Anolis sagrei: one gene and its partners. The protein of the gene in region 2 interacts with the protein of the main gene of each other region in a pairwise test. Links are inferred from orthologs where the notes say so. Each region holds a gene or a part of one and is shown on either strand. Other genes may lie near its edges.

Region 1 (3,751 bases), on a different chromosome or scaffold from region 2:
CCATATGTAAGCTGCCCCAAGTCCCTTCGGGGCGATAGTTTATAAGACTAAAGTTTTTGGGGGTTGTTTTTTTTTTTGGTCAGGAGCGACTTGAGAAACTGCAAGTCACTTCTGGTGTGAGAGAATTGGCCATCTGCAAGGACGTTGCAAAGGGGATGCCCGGGTGTTTTGATGTGTTACCATCCTTGTGGGAGGCTTCTCTCATGTCCCCACATGTGCAGGAGCTGACAGAGGAGTCGAACCTCTGACGTATCAGTCTTTAGTCCTGGTGGCACAAGAGATTAATGCACTGTGCCACCGGGAATTCCCAGAATAAAGTTGTTATTATTATTATTATTATTATTATTAAACTTTTATTCTGTGCATAAAAACCACTTTGAGTCTACTTTGTGGAGAAAATGGGCGGGGTATAAACAAGCATAATAAACTAATAATAATAATAATAGTATAATTAAAATAATAATAATAAATCAATCTAAAAGTGGGAGGGAGGCATTTCTAATTTCATCCCTATACAATAATATAGATGGGTTCCTGAGTGAAATGTATATAACAAAAATACCACTTGTATAACATAAACAATGATATAATTCAATAACAGTATATAAACATGCTGCACTGTTAACCTCACAGCGACAACAAACAGTATGGTGCAAACTTTTAGTACAGTCGTATTTTCTTATAAGTAGCTTGAGTAACAGCCTACCACAATTCAACAATATATATACATGCTGCACTGTTAAGTCCACAGCGACAACAAACAATGTGGTGCAAAACTTTTAGTACAGTCGTGTCTTCTTATAAGTAGCTTGTGGGACAGCCGACCACGACCGGTTTCGGCCTAGTCCACCAGAGGAAGGCCTGAGGTAGGCCGAAACCGGTCATGGTCGGCTGTCCCACAAGCTACTTATAAGAAGACACGACTGTACTAAAAGTTTTGCACCACATTGTTTGTTGTCGCTGTGGGCTTAACAGTGCAGCATGTATATATATTGTTGTTGAATTGTGGTAGGCTGTTACTCAAGCTACTTATAAGAAAATACGACTTTACTAAAAGTTTGCACCATACTGTTTGTTGTCGCTGTGAGGTTAACAGTGCAGCATGTTTATATACTGTTATTGAATCATAATTTCATCCCTAGCCTATCCTGATTAACACAGCCTCTACAGCAGGCATGGGCAAACTTCGGCCCTCCAGGTGTTTTGGACTTCAACTCCCATACTTCCCAACAGTCTAGGAATTATGGGAATTGAAGTCCAAAAAAACCTGGAGGGCCGACGTTTGCCCATGCCTGCTCTAGAGAAACAGTACGAATTTTAATGTATTGTCGAAGGCTTTCATGGCCGGAATCACTGGGTTGTTGTAGGTTTTTTTTGGGCTATATGGCCATGGTCTAGAAGCATTCTCTCCTGACATTTCACCTACATCTATGGCAAGCATCCTCAGCGGTAGTGGGGTCTGTTGGAAGTAGAAAAATAGGTTTATATATCTGTGGAATGACCAGGGTGGGACAAAGAACTCTTGTCTGTTGGAGCTTGGTGTGAATGTTCCAACTGACCACCTTGATTAGCATTTGATGGCCTGGCAGTGAGAGGTGAGAGATGATTAGACGTCCAAGATTGTTTCCTCTCTGTTGTTTTGCTGTTGTAATTTTAGAATTTTTTTAATACTGGTAGCCAGATTTTGGTCATTTTCATGGTTTCCTCCTTTCTGTTGAAATTGTTTTACCTCAAGAAAATGAATGTTACCTCAGGGAAAAAGTACAAGGAGTATTCCCTGAGGTAAAATTCAAGAATGCCGCCCTAGAAACTGGAAACAAAGTGAGAAATGCCTCTTTTCCCCACTTTTGCTTTGTTTTATGAGGTTATAAAGAGTTGTTTCCCACACTCGGGTCTTCCAGACGCTTTGGACTCCATCTCCCATGATCCTTGGCCATTGGCCGTGGCAGCTGAGGCTTCTGGGAGTTGAAGTCCGAGCCCCTGTAGGAGGCGGGGAGGCGGATTTTGGCTCTCCCCTTCTCACTGCCTTCCTTCCTTCTTTTTTCCGCGCCCTCCGCCTCGTCCCCTCCGGCCCCGCGCTCACCTCGCTCCCGCTCTCCAGTAGTAGCCATTCCTCGCTGAGGCCCGCGCGCTTCAAGCACCAAGGCCGAGCGGGCTCCTCCGAAAGGCCGCTACTCGTGCTGCTGCTGCTGCTGCCGGCGCCAAAACACGCCGCCATTTTCCGCCGCCCGCGCGAGAGCGACGCAGGCAAAAGCAATCGAACAAAGCATAGATAGGCCCCGCCCTGCTTCGGGCAACGTACCGTTACGCCTTCAAGTGTCCCTCATTAAAGATGGCGCCTCACACAGGACAGCCGCAGGCACGCTCAATTGATACCGGAGGCAGACACCCTTGTTGCGTGTGCATGATGCGTTACACCGCAACTGTATCACAAACAAACCTTTCTCAACCCTGGTGAGATGCTTGACTCAGGCGCACCTACACTGTTGAAGGGATGCAGTTGGGCACCGCTGCCATGCCAGAGTGGTGTGGGATCGTGGGAGTTGTAGTTTCACAAGGTCTGAGCCTTCTGTGCCCAAACTACAGCTCCCACGGGTCCACCACAAGGTCTTCAACTACCTCTCTTGTCAAACTTCGTAGTTTTACAAGGTCTTGAAACCTCCTCTCCCAAAGAGGGCTGCTGCCCTCACCAAACTACAAATCCCAGGGTTCCAAAGCACTGAGCCATGGCAGTTAAAGTGGGGTCAAACGGCCTTCATTCTGAACTGTAGGTGCACCTGTTCATAGAATCATAGAGTTGGAAGAGACCTCATGGGCTATCCAGTCCAACCCCCTTCCAAGAAGCAGGAATATTGCATTCAAAGCACCCCCGACAAATGGCCATCCAGCCTCTGTTTAAAAACCTCCAAAGAAGGAGCCACCTTATGTCCAGTGCCATGTGCATTTCAATTGAAAGTGCATGAGCTTTATTTATTTATTTATTTATTTGATGCATTTATTAACCGCCATTCTCAGCCCTTAAGGGCGACTCATGGCGGTGTACAATACATATAAAGACAATTTACAAAAGGCTAATTACAACAACATATAAACTATACGACAATTACAAACTACGCTAAAAATCCGCTTCGTCTCTTAGTGGAATCATAACCAGTCTCATATACCTTGTTCCATTCCAGTCATCTTTACCACATTGTTATAGCACTCAATTAAATGCCTTCTCGAACAGCCATGTTTTGAGGCTTTTTCGGAAGGACATGAGGGAGGGCGCCTGTCTGATGTCTGCAGGGAGAGCGTTCCACAGCCGGGGGGCCACCACCGAGAAGGCCCTCTCTCTCGTTCCCGCCAGACGTGCCTGTGAGGCAGGCGGGATCGAGAGAAGGGCCCCCCCAGATGATCTCAAGTTCCTCGTGGGCTCGTAGGCCAAGATGCGGTCCGAAAGGTATTTTGGGCCGGAACCGTTTAGGGCTTTGTAGGCCAGAACCAGCACCTTGAATTGGGTCCGGTAGCAAATCGGCAGCCAGTGGAGCTGGGACAACAAGGGCGTTGTGTGCTCCCTGCCACCCGCTCCAGTTAGTAACATGGCTGCCGCGCGCTGAACCAGCTGAAGCTTCCGGGCCGTCTTCAAGGGCAGCCCCACGTAGAGAGCGTTGCAGTAGTCAAGGCGGGATGTGACCAGAGCGTGTACCACCGTGGCCAAGTCAGACTTCCCGAGATACGGGCGCAGCTGGCGCACGAGCCTGAGCTGTGC
Region 2 (3,751 bases):
ACTGTGAAGAAACATGAGGACCATGTATAAATATGTGAGGAGAAGCCATCGGGAGGATGGGGCAGGCTTGTTTTCTTCTGCCCTGGAGACTAGGACGTGGAACAACAGCTGCAAACTACAGGAAACCTAACATTAGGAAGAACTTCCTAACTGTGAGAGCTGTTGAGCAGTGGAACTCTCTGCCCTGGAGTGTGGTGGAGGTTCCTTTTTTGGAGACTTTTAAGCAGATGCTGCTTTACAATGTTTTTAGACTGGACTATGGAGAGGCTCTGGACTGGGCTGTTGGTCGCTGAATCAAACTCGGATATGGCTATATGGTTAATAATAATCTTTAAATGGTTTTTAATTTAATGTATTATTTAATGTTTTTATTGTAATGTATTTAATGTATTATTTGTTTTATTGTAATGTGTTTAATGTATTATTTAATGGTTTTATTGTAATATTTTGTATGTTGCCGGCATCAGATTGCTGTCATTGTAAGCTGCCCTGACTCCCCTCTTGGGAGTAGAGAATGACGGGGTATAAATGTTTGAAATAAATAAATAAAATTTTCCTGCTTCTTGGCAGAGGGTTGGATTGGACGGCCCACAATGTCTCTTCCAACTCTATGATTCTATGAATGAAGAGATGACCAATGCTGTAGATCAGTGGTTCTCAACCTGTGGGTCCCCAAATGTTTTGGCCTACAACTCCCAGAAATCCCAGCCAGTTTACCAGCAGTTGGGATTTCTGCGAGTTGAAGGCCAAAATATCCCAGGACCCACAGGTTGGGAACCACTGCCGTAGATTATATCTGTCAAGAAATTTACAAAATCACTTCTAAGTATTCCCTGCTGGTAGGGGGGATGGGGTGGACAACTATGAGATCTATTTGCCACCATTGAGTCAATAGATGAGTCAAAGGCACATAAAGATAGATGCAAGGGCTCGATCTACACAGCCCTGTGATGCAGTTCCACAATGCAGATGAACTGGAGTGATGATACGGCAGTGTAGACTAGGCATGGGCCAACTTGGGCCCTCTAGATGTTTTGGACTCCAACTCCCACCATTCCTCACAGCCTCAGGCACCTTCCTTTTCCCCCTTGGCCGCTTAAGCGGCCGAGGGGGAAAAGGAAAGGGCCTGAGGCTGTGAGGAATGGTGGGAGTTGGAGTCCAAAACACATGGAGGACCCAAGTTGGCCCATGCCTAGTGTAGACTCTCAAAATCCAGCCTGAGGTTGTGAGGAATGGTGGGAGTTGGAGTCCAAAACACCTGAAGGACCCAAGTTGGCCCATGCCTAGTGTAGACTCTCAAAATCCAGTTCAATGCCTTCTGAAACTGCATTGCAGGCCAGTGTAGGTCCAGCTCAGGGCATCGATCAGACTGACAGCGTTGTTTAACAGTGTCTCTCTCAAAGTAGCAGCTCACGACCATAAACAACAACACAGGGGTGATGAGGAGACGTGCCTGGGTGCCAAGATCACACGTGACGGTGTACACGTAGGTGACACGCCATTTTCTACAAAGAAAAAAAAGCGGCATGGTGTGTTACCAGGGTGTGAAGACAGAATGAGACTGAGAGAGAGACCTCAGAAGGAGAGAGCTGGGCCTCGCGCCCTCTGAGGCCCACTCACAGCAGAAGCAATAGCAGTATCCGTTTTCCCTCAGAAGAAGGGGATTTTTGGGCCTCTGTTTCCTACCTGCATCCCGCCACCGCCGTCGGGCTCCGCCTCGGTCCGCAGCCTCTTGCTCTGCCCGCCCTCGGCGCCCTCCCCGCCCGGCATCGGCTGCTCCAGCTCGGGCTCCCGCTTCAGCCCTCGAGGGGCGGCCGAGGAAGAGGAGGAGGAGGAGGGGACGCCGCCGCCGAGCACCAGCTGCTGGTGCGGGATGCCTTCCGCCATCCGAGCCGGAGCCCGGCCGCCCCGCTTTCCCTCAAGGAGAGGAAGGAAGGCTTCTCCCGGTGGAGGCCCAAGCGGGAAGGAAGGGAGGAAGGAAGGTCGCTCGCTGAGGGGAAAGCACTGAGTGAGGCTTGTCTCTCTTGCTTTCTCTCTTAGGGGGAAAAAAAGGAGACCCGACGAAGCGCCGAAGCAGTTCGGGGCCTGTGCCGGAAAGTGCCGAGGGCGCTCGGGAAAAAAAAAGACCCTCGGCAATCTCCGGAAAGCACTCGAAAAGGAGACCCTCTCACTCGGGAATGGCGGAGTCAGGGGGAAAGGGGCGGGGCTACTGCCCTACAAGGGGCGGGGTTACGGAGGGAGGGAACGAAAGGCCCAGGCGGGAAAGAATTGAGTGAGGTTTCTCTTTGAGGGGGAAAAGGAGGCCCGCCAAAGCGCCGATGCAGTTCGGAGCCTGTGGCGGAAAGTGCCGACGGCGCTCGGGGAAAAAAAAGACCCTCGGCAATTTCCGGAAAGCACTCGAAAAGGAGAGCCTCTCAGAAAGCTTCGGGATGGCGGAGTTGGGGGAAAGGGGGCGGGGCTACTACCCTAGAAGGGGCGGGGCAACGGAGGGAGGGAAAGAAGGTCGCTGAGGGAAAGAACTGAGTGAGGTTTTTCTTTGAGGGGGAAAAGGTGGCCCGCCGAAGTGGCGAAGCAGTTCGGGGCCTGTGGCGGAATGTGCCGACGGCACTCGAGGGAAAAAAAGACCCTCGGTAATCTCCGGAAAGCACTCGAAAAGGAGACCCTCTCACTCGGGAATGGCGAAGTCGGGGGGAAAGGGGCGGGGCTACTGCCCTAGAAGGGGCGGGGCTACGGAGGGAGGGAAAGAAGGTCGCTGAGGGAAAGAACTGAGTGAGGTTTTTCTTTGAGGGGGAAAAGGTGGCCCGCCGAAGTGGCGAAGCAGTTCGGGGCCTGTGGCGGAATGTGCCGACGGCACTCGAGGGAAAAAAAGACCCTCGGTAATCTCCGGAAAGCACTCGAAAAGGAGACCCTCTCACTCGGGAATGGCGAAGTCGGGGGGAAAGGGGCGGGGCTACTGCCCTAGAAGGGGCGGGGCTACGGAGGGAGGGAAAGAAGGTCGCTGAGGGAAAGAACTGAGTGAGGTTTTTCTTTGAGGGGGAAAAGGAGGTCTGCCAAAGCGCCGAAGCAGCTCGGGGCTGTGGCGGAAAGTGCCGACGGCGCTCGGAAAAAAAGACCTTCGGCAATGTCCGGAAAGCACTCAAAAAGGAGACCCTCACACTTGGCAAGCTTCGGGATGGCGGCGTCGGGGGATAGGGGCGGGGCTACTGCCCTAGAAGGGGCGGTGCCTGTGGCGGAAAGTGCTCGGAAAAAAGACCTTCGGCAATGTCCGGAAAGCACTCAAAAAGGGGTCCCTCTCACTCGGCAAGCTTCGGGATGGGAGAGTAGAGGAGGAAGGGGCGGGGCTACTGCTCTAGAAGGGGCGGGGCCACGGAGGGAGGGAACTAGAGGCCCAGGCGCGAAGGAGGGAAAGAATTAAGCCAGGCTTCTCTGAGAGGGAAAAGGACACCCGCCGAAGCACCGAAGCAGCTCGGGGCCTGTGGCGGAAAGTCCCGACGGCGCTCGGGGGAAAAAAAAAGACATTCGGCAATGTCCGGAAAGCACTCGAAAAAGAGACTCTCTCACTCGGAAAGCTTCGGGAATGGCAGAGTTTAGGAGAGAAGGGGCGGGGCTACGGAGGGAGGGAATGTTTATTCTCCTTAGTTTGAGTCTGGCGGAGGGAAGGGAGGAAAGCGCGTCATCTGGCTGCCAGGCATTGTGCCAGCAATGTGTCTAAATTGGGCACCATGGTTTTTTTTTCTGCCAGAATGCTTTC
Region 3 (3,751 bases), on a different chromosome or scaffold from region 2:
CCATTCTTACATTTCATCTGTCCAGAATTTCATTTCTTCTTGTGACGGTAATTTTCCTTCCTTATTTTTTAATCCATTTACCACAAATCTTCCCCATACAGCATCAAAATCGCTTTGTTTCCATATACCTTTTTTAACCTTTAATATACATGTCAATTTATCATTTATTGCTATTTTCCATGCTTCTTTATACCACTCCTCTATTTGTATATTCATTTCTTTTTTCCAATTCCTTGCTATAAGCAGTCTTGCTATAGTTAGTAAGTTTGTTATCGCTTCTTTATCCTCCTTTTTCAATTGCTTATCTTTATATATTGATAGTAAGGCTATACTAGGGCTTTTATCTAATTCTATATTCATTATAGTTTCTATTTCTCTAAATACTTTCTCCCAAAAATTATTTACATATTTACATTGCCACCACATGTGTATATATGTTCCTGGTTCTTGACACCCTCTCCAACAATTTGTTGAGTTATTTTTATAAATTTATAAATACCAAAGGGAAAAAGAAATAAAGAAGATTTTGCTATATGTAATTTATTGAAGCCTTTAATATCTTCTTCATTCACAGAGCCATTGCACAGAGGCTGCGATAAATATTTGCATCACTCTGTCTTACTAATATCTTGTTGAAGGGCTATCTGTGGGGTTACCATACTATCCAGTTGGCGAGATATTATTGGCATTCTAAGCTTGTCAGCTCATGCTCATTTGGAGCATCACCTACGAATATGCCATCCCTAAGACCGGTTATTTGTATCCTTCAGTAAACATGGTAATGACACGTGATCCTATTTTTCCCTCTTGACAGTATGGCACTATACTATGAGATATGTTCTGTTTTGTGGCTTTTGTCGTTTTCTTTTTGTTTTCATGATGTTTTATTATGAAGTTTATAGTACTAATAAAATTTACTATAAATAAAATAATGTGCACAATTATAGTAATTTACATAATATGCATATCGGGTGTCTGGGAAGGACTGGAATATGGCAACCCTACTATCTGTCAACTAAACACATATATGGAATCAGTGGTGTGTGTGTTGGCACATAGTAGAAAGTTGTTGCCAAAATGATACCCAAGAAGGGGGAGGAGGAATGCTGATGGGTGTCAGAAAACTACCCGGCACAGTCAGGCAATGGAAGTGAGGCCAAGAGCCAAATGCTGCTTTCTCCTACTCCTTTGGGGTTTGGAATAAGATACTTTCTCTGCAACCGCGCTTGGGCAGAACAGGATTCCCACTGTCTGGCGGTGAGTGAGTGACTCTCTCCCTGTACACTTTAAGGTATGGACAGATATTGGGGTTGGTAAGTAGAAGTAATCTACGCTCTCGAAAGTTTAGTGTTCTTGTTGTAGGACAAGTTTCTCTGCATGAATGACAGCAACAGCAGGGATAAGGCTGCAGTGTCGAGAGAGTCTTCTTTCCCAAGTATGTCCAATAAACACATATTTCTTTCCCAAGTATATCAAATAAACACATATTTCACTGCCGCCAGAGGTCAAAGTTGCATGTTATCTAATGCAAGGATTGTCTAGCCTTGGAAGAAAAGATGTGATGGCGCATTTAACTAACAAGTAGGAGGAAACTTTAGGGAAGTGCCATGAATTGCAGAAGCGGGCAAAGCATACTTTTAGGAACAGACTGTATCATGGCCAGGCAGAGATTTTGGCATGGTAGAAAGTGGAGAAAAAATATTGGGATAAAATAAATGGCGAGATGCACTGAGGGCCCTTCCACACAGCCAAATAACCCAGAAAATTCCGCAAGATCTGCTTTGAACTGGGTTATCTGAGTCCATACTGCCATATATTCCAGTTCAAAGCAGATAATGTGGGATTTTATTCTGCTGTGTGGAAGGAAGCTGAGAAAAAAAGTTAATATTAATGGTTTAAACTACATGATTTGTTGTTACGCACCTTCAAGTTGTTTGTGACATATGCTGTCCCTAATGTGAACATATCACGGGTTTTCTGAAGCTGAGAGAGTGTGACTTGCTCAAGGTCACCCAGTGGGTTTCCATAGTCAAGTGAGTCATTGTCCAACAACAACAACAACAACTTTATTTATACCCCACCACCATTTTCCCAAGGGGACTCAGGGCGGCATAATAATAATAATAATAATAATAATAATAATAATAATAATAATAATAATAAACTTTGTTTGTACCCCGCCACCATCTCCCCAAAGGGGACTCGGAGCGGCTTACATGGGGCCAAGCCCGAACAAGAATTACAATATAACAATACAAATTGCAATAAAATAAACAACATAACATTAAAATATAAAACATCAAAGCATATAAAACAATATACACAAAACACAGGAACGAAGCATAATGAGAGAAAGACAAAGCTTACATGAGGCCAAGCCCAACAACACATCAGTGAAGCAACAGAGCAATAAGCAAATAAAACAATACAATTAATATAACTCACATATAGGCAATAACACACAAAAATGTAAAAAAAATTAAAAATCTATGGCCGGGCCAGATGGAATAGTTTAAAATTTTAAAATATATACTGGGCGCTTTTGAGGACATTTTGCAAGGAATTGGTCAGAGCAGGGCATTGTTTCCTTTATTCAGGGAAGGCACGCTGGAACAGCCATGTTTTCAAGCTCCTCCTAAAGACTGCCAATGTGAGGGCTTGCCTGATATCCTTGGGGAGTGAGTTCCAGTTGAGGGCCACCATAGAGAAGGCCCTCTTCACTTGTCCCCACCAATCGCTCCTGCAAAGGGGGCAGGAGCGAGAGCAGGTCCTCTCAACACTCAAACTTTGCATCAAGCTGGGTCTAAACTGCAAGGCATAGAGTATGAAAATGCATAATTGTTTACACCTTATACTTTTTCTTATTTTCCAATGTGTGTGCCTTGTTTTTCAAATGTAAGATTACTCCCTCTAGAAAAGCCCATAATGAGTGAACATCTTTGAATGTATTCTGCAGCTGTAATGAGCGAAGAAGAGGAAAAGTAAATCTAGTTTTGTAACTATAGCCATGTTTGCTAATTTGCTGGACCAATCTGTAAATATCACAGTACAGCGGTTATCATACCTGTGAAATTGGGAGTGGGGAACGAATACGTTTTGCCATTTAAGGCACTCAAATACATATTACCAAACTGGCAAATAATTTTGCTTAGCCAAATCGAAGTGGTCTTGAACTTTGTGTGTTTTCACATGATTTCACATATACATTCCCAAAAAGACTTTATTTCATAAAGCCGATATCATAATGTTGCAAAATACAAATGTTTATGGTACAATACACTGCAGATCGAGTATCCCTTATCCAAAATGTTTTGAATCGGAGAAATTTTGGACGTTTTTCCTGATTTTGGAATACTTGCCTTTGAATAGTGAGATACCTTGGAGATGGGGGCCCAAATCTAAATTCAGAATTTGAATTCTGTTTCATCTTATACACATAGCCTGAAGGAAATTTCATATACTATATTTTAAATAATTTTGTGCATGAAACAAAGTTTGTGTACCTTTGAATCACCAGAAAGCAAAAGTGCCACCTATGTGGACAATTTTGGATTTGCAACATTTGGGAATACCTGGTAAGGGATGTCCAACCTGTATTTATTTTTAATTTTTGCTGCTACCAACAGCTTTCATCCTGAAATTCATCATCATCATCGTCGTCATCGTCATCATCATCATAAAAACATGTCCATCAAAGGGGAAAGTATTTTGAATGAGTTTAGGGAGAAAAAGATCCTTAAGAAACCAGCAA

The links.
Region 1: the proteins of RBFOX2 (region 2) and RNF8 interact in binary tests that used the Homo sapiens proteins (3 or more experiments, as listed by UniProt). The two-hybrid records come from large-scale screens. The link is inferred for Anolis sagrei from reciprocal best matches to the Homo sapiens genes RBFOX2 and RNF8.
Region 3: the proteins of RBFOX2 (region 2) and BOLL interact in binary tests that used the Homo sapiens proteins (3 or more experiments, as listed by UniProt). The two-hybrid records come from large-scale screens. The link is inferred for Anolis sagrei from reciprocal best matches to the Homo sapiens genes RBFOX2 and BOLL.

The regions. Positions count from the first base shown.
Region 1 is NC_090021.1:47,993,894-47,997,644, forward strand, and holds the start of RNF8 (E3 ubiquitin-protein ligase RNF8), read right to left. Parts: upstream 2,238-3,751; 5' UTR 2,219-2,237; coding exon 2,084-2,218; intron 1-2,083. UniProt on the Homo sapiens protein: E3 ubiquitin-protein ligase that plays a key role in DNA damage signaling via 2 distinct roles: by mediating the 'Lys-63'-linked ubiquitination of histones H2A and H2AX and promoting the recruitment of DNA repair proteins at double-strand breaks (DSBs) sites, and by catalyzing 'Lys-48'-linked ubiquitination to remove target proteins from DNA damage sites.
Region 2 is NC_090025.1:166,836,574-166,840,324, reverse strand, and holds the start of RBFOX2 (RNA binding protein fox-1 homolog 2), read right to left. Parts: upstream 2,276-3,751; 5' UTR 1,888-2,275; coding exon 1,687-1,887; intron 1-1,686. UniProt on the Homo sapiens protein: RNA-binding protein that regulates alternative splicing events by binding to 5'-UGCAUGU-3' elements. Prevents binding of U2AF2 to the 3'-splice site.
Region 3 is NC_090021.1:178,586,123-178,589,873, forward strand, and holds the start of BOLL (protein boule-like), read left to right. Parts: upstream 1-1,145; 5' UTR 1,146-1,167; coding exon 1,168-1,257; intron 1,258-3,751. UniProt on the Homo sapiens protein: Probable RNA-binding protein, which may be required during spermatogenesis. May act by binding to the 3'-UTR of mRNAs and regulating their translation.